3 linked regions of the Bombyx mori genome follow. The main gene of each other region encodes a partner of the protein of the gene in region 2 in a complex. Links are inferred from orthologs where the notes say so. Each region holds a gene or a part of one and is shown on either strand. Other genes may lie near its edges.

What was found.
Region 1: microfibrillar-associated protein 1 (region 2) and WD40 repeat-containing protein SMU1 share a complex: the UniProt entries of both Homo sapiens proteins name them as parts of the spliceosome B complex. The link is inferred for Bombyx mori from reciprocal best matches to the Homo sapiens genes MFAP1 and SMU1.
Region 3: microfibrillar-associated protein 1 (region 2) and zinc finger matrin-type protein 2 share a complex: the UniProt entries of both Homo sapiens proteins name them as parts of the spliceosome B complex. The link is inferred for Bombyx mori from reciprocal best matches to the Homo sapiens genes MFAP1 and ZMAT2.

The regions. Positions count from the first base shown.
Region 1 is NC_085112.1:943,283-947,044, forward strand, and holds the start of WD40 repeat-containing protein SMU1, read left to right. Parts: upstream 1-913; 5' UTR 914-1,114; coding exon 1,115-1,140; exon of another isoform or gene 1,141-1,157; intron 1,158-1,234; coding exon 1,235-1,301; intron 1,302-2,002; coding exon 2,003-2,261; intron 2,262-2,632; coding exon 2,633-3,147; intron 3,148-3,585; coding exon 3,586-3,713; intron 3,714-3,762. UniProt on the Homo sapiens protein: Involved in pre-mRNA splicing as a component of the spliceosome. Regulates alternative splicing of the HSPG2 pre-mRNA. Required for normal accumulation of IK.
Region 2 is NC_085127.1:8,423,973-8,427,734, forward strand, and holds the start of microfibrillar-associated protein 1, read right to left. Parts: upstream 2,256-3,762; 5' UTR 1,173-2,255; coding exon 1,100-1,172; intron 932-1,099; coding exon 738-931; intron 591-737; coding exon 379-590; intron 50-378; coding exon 1-49. UniProt on the Homo sapiens protein: Involved in pre-mRNA splicing as a component of the spliceosome.
Region 3 is NC_085128.1:9,737,985-9,740,797, forward strand, and holds zinc finger matrin-type protein 2, read right to left. Parts: upstream 1,939-2,813; 5' UTR 1,736-1,938; coding exon 1,621-1,735; intron 1,534-1,620; coding exon 1,292-1,533; intron 841-1,291; coding exon 601-840; 3' UTR 550-600; downstream 1-549. UniProt on the Homo sapiens protein: Involved in pre-mRNA splicing as a component of the spliceosome.

The sequences.
Region 1 (3,762 bases), on a different chromosome or scaffold from region 2:
TCGCACCTGCTCCGTAAACCCTTCTGGGACTTTGTCACCGCGAAAAGCATTCTCGTCAACGAGCGCGAAGCTCCATTCTTTCCCCGTTACTCAGTTCAGTATATATTTTAATAATACACGCCAGTCGTCAGAGACCCTTCTAGCTCTCTTCGGCGATGATACTAGTTATTACTGGAGTGAGCTGGGAAGATGTCGCTAATTCATCGGCGACTCTAGACCGCAGGATCAGGAGCTTCGGAAGTGGCGTAATTAGTGGTGGTAGAAAGTCTTGTGAGTATCCTTGTGAGTAGTGAGTAGACTTGTGAGTACCTACCGCACGGGTAGGTACCACTACCCTACCTATTTCTGCCGTGAAGTAGTAATGCGGTTCGGTTTGAAGGGTCGGGCAGCCGTTGTAATACTGAGACTGTTAAGTATGTGTGCGTGTGCCTACGCATACGGGGTATTTCAACAAATATAGGGCAGTGTGTTAACAGCAGGCAAGTGTTTCACTCGTGTATCCCTCGTATCTAACAGAGACCTTATAACTTACATCTCAAGGTGGGTGGCGGAATTAACGTTGTAGATGTGTATGTGCTCCAGTAACCACATAACACCAGCTGTAAGCTCGTCCACTCATCTAAGCATTAAAAAAAGAACGATCCTGATGACCGGACAATATACAGTCGCCCTCAGTCTTAACCCGTTATTTCGGGTCAAAGAGTCGTGGGTCCAATTTCCAGGATAAAATGTACTATGCGTACATCGCAAGCTACTAGGCAGGATAAAATGCGTAATGCATATTAAACATAATAATTAAGGCCTATTGGTAGCATAGGAGGCATTGACCATACACTTCACGTTTAGTTTGTAGTCATAAAATTAAATGTTATGTGGGCAACATGGAGTAAGGTTGTAATAGTAACTCTATGGTGGGCAATCTATGTATGGCTTGTAGCTAATCTATGGCGCTGAACTTGAATTGTGTTTATTTCCTTCTGTGTGATTTTATTTTCAATAAAATTTTAGACATTAATTTTGTGACATTGTTTATTATATATGTAAAAATATAAACCTTCAAATTCGCGTAGCAAGTTTTCTGTGGTAACTTCGTATAAAAGACGTTTTATACACAATGTCCATTGAGATAGAATCAGCCGAGTGAGTTTACTATCAATGTAAACACGAAATTACTTGAAATTATTCATCAAATATTTAATTTAGTGCCTAAAATATATTTTTATTTCAATTGCAGTGTTATCAGACTGATACAACAATACTTGAAGGAGTCAAATTTAACCAAAACATTGCAGACTTTGCAGGTTAATTCTGTTGATATTTAATTAAACATATTTTTTAATGAATAGAATTAGTGTAAATTTTTTAAACTTTACAGATTGCACTTATTTTACTTAATTATTCACTTATATTAATGAATTTTGTGTACATTTATGAGAACTTCAATTGTATCAAGTCAGAAAAGAATACCAACTTATTATTGATAAACTCTTAAGCTTTGACACTGGCTAGGATTAATGTTACATACGGCTTTTTTAACTTCAGACAGCATGCAACTTTTAGTAAGATCCACCCATATTGAACAATTTGGGGTTGTGAATTTTTTTTAAATATTGATACCATTCCTGTGCCACTGAAGCTTTAACTTCCAAGATTAGTAGTTGTAATGACCAAATTATATGAGATGTATGCATGTTGTTCACTACTGTTAGGGTGTCTTGTGACCCCCCAATGGTACCTATAAGTTCCTGCCTATTTTTCAATAGAGCAGCCATGTGTACAGGTTTGATAGATGTGACAGCTGTAATACTATGTATAACACTGAAATTTATACCTGAAGTTTCAAGTTAGAAGGATGGCAGTGTTGATATGTCTCAACTAAAGACTCAACACTTAGTTGGCAATGAGCTTGTTCACCATTTTATGCAATAAAAAGCCGTAACTGTACATCTGATTCAGATGTCATCTCTCTGAATTTTGAAAGTAAATGATTTTTAATATATAGGAGGAAACTGGAGTGACTCTAAATACAGTAGACAGCGTGGACGGTTTCTGCGCAGATATTAACAATGGCCACTGGGACACAGTACTTAAAGCTACTGCTTCACTCAAGCTTCCTGACAAAAAGTTGATGGAGTTATATGAGCAGGTTGTATTGGAGTTGATAGAACTGCGAGAATTGGGTGCTGCGAGATCCTTGCTACGTCAGACACATCCTTGTCTGTTGATGAAGCAGCATGAAACAGATCGGTATATGCATCTTGGTGAGTCAAAATTTTAGTATATGTATTTGGCTAAAAATACATCCAGTCTTTAAATCAGATTTGTATCTTAGAATGCTAATGAATATGAATAATATAATATAAAAAGATATAATATTTAAAATAAAACTTATTGCAATACAATAGTAAATAAATGCAATACAATTAAAGTAAATAATACTACTGCTGTAGCAACTTGGCTATGCCTTTGGCATTGTTGATGTCCATTAATGTGACCAGATGGGTGGTCCTAAGCTGATCTAAATAGAGGCAATAAAAACATGTTTAGTTTAAGCAATTTTTATACACATTTCCAATTGTTTTAATCCATAGTTAAATCTGTATGTGTCTGAATGTTTATCTTCATATGACAGAAAACCTGTTAGCACGTTCATATTTCGATCCTCGTGAGGCATACGGCAGTGGAGGAGGCAAGGAGCGGCGCCGCGCTGCCATCGCAGCGTCCCTCGCCGGGGAGGTGTCCGTCGTACCGTCGTCCCGTCTGCTGGCACTACTGGGCCAGGCCCTCAAATGGCAACAGCACCAGGGTCTGCTCCCTCCCGGCACCACTATAGATTTGTTCCGTGGTAAAGCCGCAATAAGAGACCAAGAAGACGATCTCTGCCCCACCCAACTGTCCAAGATCATCAAATTCGGTCAGAAGTCCCACGTGGAGTGCGCGCGATTTTCTCCTGATGGACAATATTTAGTGACGGGCTCCGTAGATGGCGTCGTTGAAGTTTGGAACTTTACAACAGGAAAAATCCGTAAGGATTTGCGTTATCAGGCTCATGATGAGTACATGTGCATGGAAGAGGCGGTGCTGAGCCTGGCTTTTGCGAGGGATAGCGACACATTGGCTGCTGGGTCTAATGATGGAAAAATTAAGGTAATAAATGTTTTAAAACCTCATGCTAGTTAACCTTTTCATTACTGCTTCCGTGTAAAAAGTGAGTTATTATTGCTCCCTAATATATAATTATATAATGCTATGTATATGACCTAATGAGCTCAGAATTCACCTGGGCATCATTAGGTGGTAACAGACAAAACGGAAAGCAATATATATTTCCTAAGATGATTATATACTTTTTGTTGAACATATCGTGCAACCGCAATGTAATGTGAAGTTAAGAGACCTTCTCCTCCCCTTCCCTCCTCTTCTCCACCCCTTCTCCACCCCTTCGCCACCCCTTCCCCGGGCTGCATTGAACTTTGAACATGAAATTTTTTGGTCGTTCAAGATAGTTTCATTGTATCCTTTGTTCAACACATGGGTCATTAAGTAAATTCAACATAATTACTCAATAAAATTCTCTGTGAACAGGTCTGGAAAGTGTCAACGGGTAAAGTGCAACGCAAACTGGACCGAGCTCACTCTAAGGGCGTGACCTGCCTGCAGTTCACCCGAGACAACACTCAGATCCTCTCGGCCTCCTTTGATCGGACCATAAGGTATTTATTTATAAAGTTAAACCTTAAAGTGTACGGGAGGCGTCGATGA
Region 2 (3,762 bases):
CAACATTTCTTCATCTTCATCTCTACCGAGTACTTCTTTTTCAGCTTCCCTACCATTTAATAAATTGATAATTTTATTACATTCAGACGTATTTAATATTTAAGTTCGTAATGCACCTTTTTAAAAAAACACTTGTGCTAACAATGTCTTCCTTTTTTATTGCATAGTGATTGCATAGTGAAGGAACTCAAAACACTTGGAACTCATATATACTACAATGTGAAAACCACTACATTTCAACTACAGCAATCTCCCTTTTGGCTGGGTGGAGAGTCCCATATACTCTTTCAGGAGTTATATTTGAAAGCATAATTCATTTAAAATTATCTATTTCACTGTATTATTGTGAATTTAAAAACTAATATGTTCTACATTTACCTGGCTGCAAGTTTTGCTCTTAGAGCCTGTCTGCGTCTTTCAATCTCTTCCTCATCCAGTTCATCTTCACTCTCGGAACTATCCCTCACGTCATGATCACTGATCTCAGATTCTGCTTCAGGTTCTGCATCAATAATTTCAGGCTTGTGTTCGGCTCTACGCGGCGGTGATTGTGCAATATTACGGAGACGTCGTAATCGAGGATCATCAACCTTAAAAGTGAAATTATACATTTCTACAATGAAGTGAAAAAGATGCAATTAACCTTGACACTTCTGTTATGAGGTACAATTTAAGATGAGCTGCAGAGAGCAGTCCATTTATAGTATTTCTCATTAGTGTTGCTCTTTATAAGTTACCTCTTTCTCAGAATCGCTATGATGTTCTTCTTTGCGGGTGATTATTTGAGGTAAAACTTGTTTCCGTTCAGGTCTTTGTTGCTCTATAAAATCTTCTTCATCTGATTCCTCAGATGATGACATTCCTTGTGCATAGTCAGGCTTTTTTCCAGATATGTATCGCTGAACTTTCACCTTTTGCATCGAGATCTCACCTGAAAATGAAGCCAATTTATGTAAAATAAAATGAAAACTTTGGAAATGCTTCAACTAAGCTGCATTGATTAATGTGAAAATTTCGAATCAATTAACTTTATTTTTATAGAATGGAAGTTTGAAAGCCAGTTTTTTTTTAAATTCATTTTAGGAATACATTATCGTACCTTTTTCATTTCTTATCGGAATTGCTCCCGCTGTACTCTGAATGCCTGTAGGTTGTGCTGGTAGGACATTCATCTTGCCAGTGTTTTCGTTTATAAAACAATGATAGTAGCTACTAGACCCCAATTATTAAATTTTCATTAAATATAAATTACTTGATTTCACAAAGCCTTGTTCAGTTTAAAAGATATTTTACCCATTATTATCCTAAATTACAGTAACGATACGTTTAGTATGATTAGTACTAGCCACAGATAAGATACAGAATTTGACATTACTTCAACAAATTTTTTTCAAACACGCAAATACCCTGACCAAAGGAACAAAGGTCATACAGGCTGTTTTGTTTTAAAACTAAAACCATATCTGTTGTATGAAACTGCTTTAAGCGAAGAGGAAAGTCATAACTTTTTCACATTTACTAAATAAGAAGTAAAGTAATTTGATAAAAAAAAAATCCTGTTGAAGACTTTTTGCAAATTTATTTGCAACAGTGACCACTGATGGTGTAGTGTGTTAATGAGGCTTGCATACATGGCTACAGGACAAGCTGTAGAACATTGTTTATACATAAACCTTTAAAGTATACTTCAGTGCGTTTCATTGACCTATATAGTAGGGACACGACATATTTTTCTATACGTACAATTGCTTATACAAATAACACCCATTTTGAAGGCACACACATAAACATATATCTATCTCGTTCTTACTCAGCACGAGTCAGCACTGTAACTCGCAGGAAAACAATATAACAGTATTTCAGTGCGTACATAAAATGAAACATGAATATACGTAAATGTCTAATGAGGCCGAAAATCCGTCATGCTTAGCGCACCAAATGTCATTGTCACGTCAGTTCAACCGGTTTTTTTTTAATGCTTTGAATGGTGGACGATCTCACAGCCCACCTGGTGCTAAGTGGTTACTGGAGCCCATGGACATCTATAACGTAAATGCGCCACCCACCTTGAGATATAAGTTCTAAGATCTCAGTATAGTTACAACGGCTGCCCCACCCTTCAAACCGAAACGCATTGTTGCTTCACGGCAGAAATAGGCAGGGCGATGGTGCCTACCCGCGCGGAGTCACAAGAGGTCCTACCACCAGGATTTTGGGTTATTGACTTTGATATCGATTTAATATGATTGCTTATATAACATTTCTTATTTTATCATGCTACCCCGCTTAAACCATACAAAAATAATAATTATAACATATTTAATAGGATCTCAAGAAAGTAGATACACCAAAACTAATAACTATATGATAATATATTTAAATTCATTATGGAGCACTCATCCTAAAAATCGGACACAATTTTTTCATATATCTTCTTCTTCTTCTTTATTTTTGGCTCTGGCACGTTTTGTGCATTAGCCAGCGTCAAGTAATAACGTTTTTATAATTCGCCGTTTTATTTATTTACAGTTTATAAATAATAAAAAACGAAGGAAACTTATCGCAACAAAACATAAATGATTTAGAACGAATTGAATTTACAAAAAAAATCAGAATAATTATATAACAGGGAAAATAAATCAAAATTATAGTTTAATGTTATTATTTAAAATAAACCTACTTAAAATACTATATACAAGGGGATTAAAATCTCGAAGAAGTAAAGAAATATTAGTAGGAAGGGGAATAGAGAGAGATACTAAAGAAGTATATAAGGAAGAATGATCATATAAAGAACAAGCAAAGAAAATATGATTCAGGTCACAATAACTCTCGCCACACTCACAGGCGGTACTAGTTACGATACCAAGTTTGTGCAAATGAACTGGAAGGCTGTTATGTCCCAGACGCATACGAATTATAGTAGAAGTGGCGGTTTTACCAAACGACAATTTGGCAAACCATGGCTTCCTGGGAACGGAAGACTGTATAGCATACAAGAAACGACCCTTAATCCGGCCGCTCTCTTCCCAACACATATTCCATGATTTGTGGAGGCATATGCCGGGCAAAGCAGCAAGATCATGGCCAAAATTCTTGTACGGGTATACGTCACCGGTCACAGTTGCACTGTTGGCCAAACTGTCAGCTTTCACATTTCCAGATATGCCACAGTGACTAGGTACCCAACAAAATGATACTAAATAGTTGTGTGATTGGCAGTGCAACAGCTTTCTCTTACATTCAAATATTACATGAAAAAAAGGGTTAAGTTTTAGTGAAAATTTTGCTAAGCTCTGTAATGCACTTAAGGAATCAGTAAATACAACGGTTTTTTTTAGTTTGAAAGACAGCACATATTCAAGAGCTTTTAATAGTCCAAAACATTCACCGGTAAAGACCGATGATTCCGGAGGTAATTTAATTTTCTGAACTATGTTGTACTGTTTGTGATACACTCCAACACCAACACACCCACTGGAGTGTTTAGATGCATCTGTATAAATTTGATGCCAGTTAGGCCATTTACTATTGACATTGCAATTAAAATTTTCATTGGCATTAAAATCAGATTTTTCAATGCCAAGAGAAAAGCAAATCACTGGAGAAAGTAAGAGAGAATCATAAGAAGCGCCAAATAAAGGAAGCACCTGAAAAGAATGAGTTGGGGCTTGTAATTGTTTGAATTTCAGGAAACTTTTTAACAGACAAGGTAAAGGTTTATGTGAAGAGGGTACTTTTTTAGAAAGAAACTCTAGTTTC
Region 3 (2,813 bases), on a different chromosome or scaffold from region 2:
TTTATGACCTGGTGACTAAGACCTTTAAGTCATGTCTTATTTTAATTTATAGATTTGGGCGAGATCGTTATCTTAGCCCAGACTCAACAGAAACGACTTAGAGTAGAGAGATGAGCGCTCTTTTAACGCCCAGCCAACTGATTTTGTTGTTGAATTGTTTATTGTCCTCGAAAAGTCAGTCAGTCAAAGTAGTCACGTGCGATTTACATATCCCAAAATCCCAAATCCCAAAAACTAAAGTTGATGTGAGTTTTGACATATACAGGACTACTGGAGTCAGTGAAAAGCTTTCATCTAGCACATGAAAAACATGCCCTCATACCAAGTCCGGTAGTGGACATTGTAGCCTTATAATTTATATTTTTTAATTGGAAAAAGCATTTGGAACATGTTACATTTACATGGTGTCGTTTTTTCTAGCCTTTTCCAAATAAATATGGTAATATTATCCTGTCTGCTAAATCAAAGTTCATAATTATACCTTGATAAAACAAGGTCAGGGCAAATAGAATTATTAGCCAAATAATAATTAAAACATTCAATGAAACATTATTGTACCACACAGTATTTATTAATATAAGCTTTACATTTTAAAACATATCATTTTTTAGATCCTCCAAAGCCAGAAAACCCCATAATTTGTGCTAATTCAGAAGGTGCTGGTGTATCATCTATTTCATCATTCTCCATTAACTTCCGTTTCTTGTCCCGACGTCTCTCCCTACGTAGCTCTTTCACACGAGCTTCTTCTTCAGCGGCTTCCTTTAATCTTGTGTCTAATTCATATTCACGCTTTTTCTCTTCCAACTTTCGTTTATTGAGTGCAAATCTTGCTTTTACCTGGAACCAAACAAATATAATGTAGTAGTAGTAGCTATGATAGAATAGAATAAATATTATTAAAACCTGAATGGTATTTATAAAATTGAGAACAGCTAGATGAGTTAGATAGATTATTTCAAATTAGTGGTCTAGAAATTTAAATCATCTATTTGGTTGAACATTTTACATTTATTATTCCTTAACAATAGCATTAGAACTTGATAAAATTAAGATTGAAAGAATTTGTTGAGAATTATTTTAATATTGAGTGCTCTAGTTGAGTGGGATGGTAGGTTTGCTCAACTCAGGCAATCACAAAAATAATAGCGTTGGTTCATGATGTTTGTTATTATTTTGATGCAACAGTGGCCAATTGATGATCTCAGACCATAAATCTAGTAGCAAGTCAACAATCCTATTTACCTGCTTGGTACTATGCATATACATACATGTGAAAAAGTAAGCTCACCTGATCTAAGCTGCTCCTTTCTATTTTCATGGACATTCCCAGATTCCTCTGATGTTTTTTACCATTGATGTGATCAAGGAAATTTATTGAATCTTTAACAACACAGTCACAAACATTACAATAATATCCTCCAGATTGGGACGTTGGCGTATTCTTATTGATTACTACACTCTTCCCGAGTCTCGAGTCCAAATCTACTTTATATTCACGTTGTTTGAGAAGTTCACGTTTGACTGGAGTGGCTGGAAAATGAAAATTAAACAAACATTTATATATTGTGTCAAATTTGTATTTTAACGTAACAAAGTGTGTTGACACAAATATTTTACCTTTCTTCTTGGATTTTTCTTCTTCTTCTAGCTCTGCTTTCAAACGCTCGGCTGCAATTTTCTCGAATTCCTCTTTGTCCCATTTTCTTCGGTGGTCATCGGGGCGCATACTCATGTTTAAATTTTATAGTATTTATTTCACAACAATTACAAGTTATGATTTTCTTACACACTCCACTTGTTTGTTTTATATTAAACGTGTACCCAGAGGGAAGAGTAATCAATTAGATCTATTAAAAAAATAACACGAGAAAATCATCCTTAACAACACAAACGAAATGTTTCTAATTGACAACTAGCAGTGACAAAACTGACAAATGATTAGTTGTAGTATTTCCATTTTCTAACAAGAAAGGCGAAAGCATATATATATTATACAGCCTAATCTTTTATATATTCAGTTACATGAAAATTAATATAATAGGTTGGGGAAAAAGTTTCTTCGCATTTTTTAAGAAAATTAACAAATTTTTTTAATAGTTTATTTACATTTAACTTAAGTATGTAGGTATCATTTTGTTCGATAGCTTTTTGCCATTTTGTAAATAGGGACATGATCCCATTGCTATAAAAAATTTGGGGCTTCTGATCAAAATACCGAGACAATTGGTTTTGGCAGTCCTCTCGTGATGTTAATCTGACACTGCCTAAAGAATTCTGAAGAACCGAAACAGGTGGAAACCTGAAGGTGCAAGGTCAGGACGGATATACGGATAAACAGCGGATGCATTAACATCTTCCAGTCAAGCTCTCTTAATTTTTGCTGAATGGCTAAAGATGTGTAAGGTCACATTGTTATCATGATGAAAAGCCACACTCCTTCTGTTGATTAATTCTGGCCACTTTCTCTCAACTTCTTCCTTTAATCTCATCAGTTGTTCGCAGTAGAGTTCAGAATCAATGGTCTTGCCTGGTGGTAACAGCTCATAATGAATAATGTCCTTCCAATTCCACTACACAAACAGCATCACCTTGTTGCAAGTTAACCCAGGTTTTGCCACAGTCTGTGAAGCCTGACGGACCTTTGACCACGACTTTTTTCGTACGTTCTTGTCGTGCGTGATCCACTTTTCATCACCAGTTATCAGCTTCTTCAAACATGGTTCGGTTTCATTACGTCGTAATAAAGAATCACAAATGAGTACACGGTTCATTAGGTTTCTTTCAGTGAGCTCGTGAGGTACCCAAATATC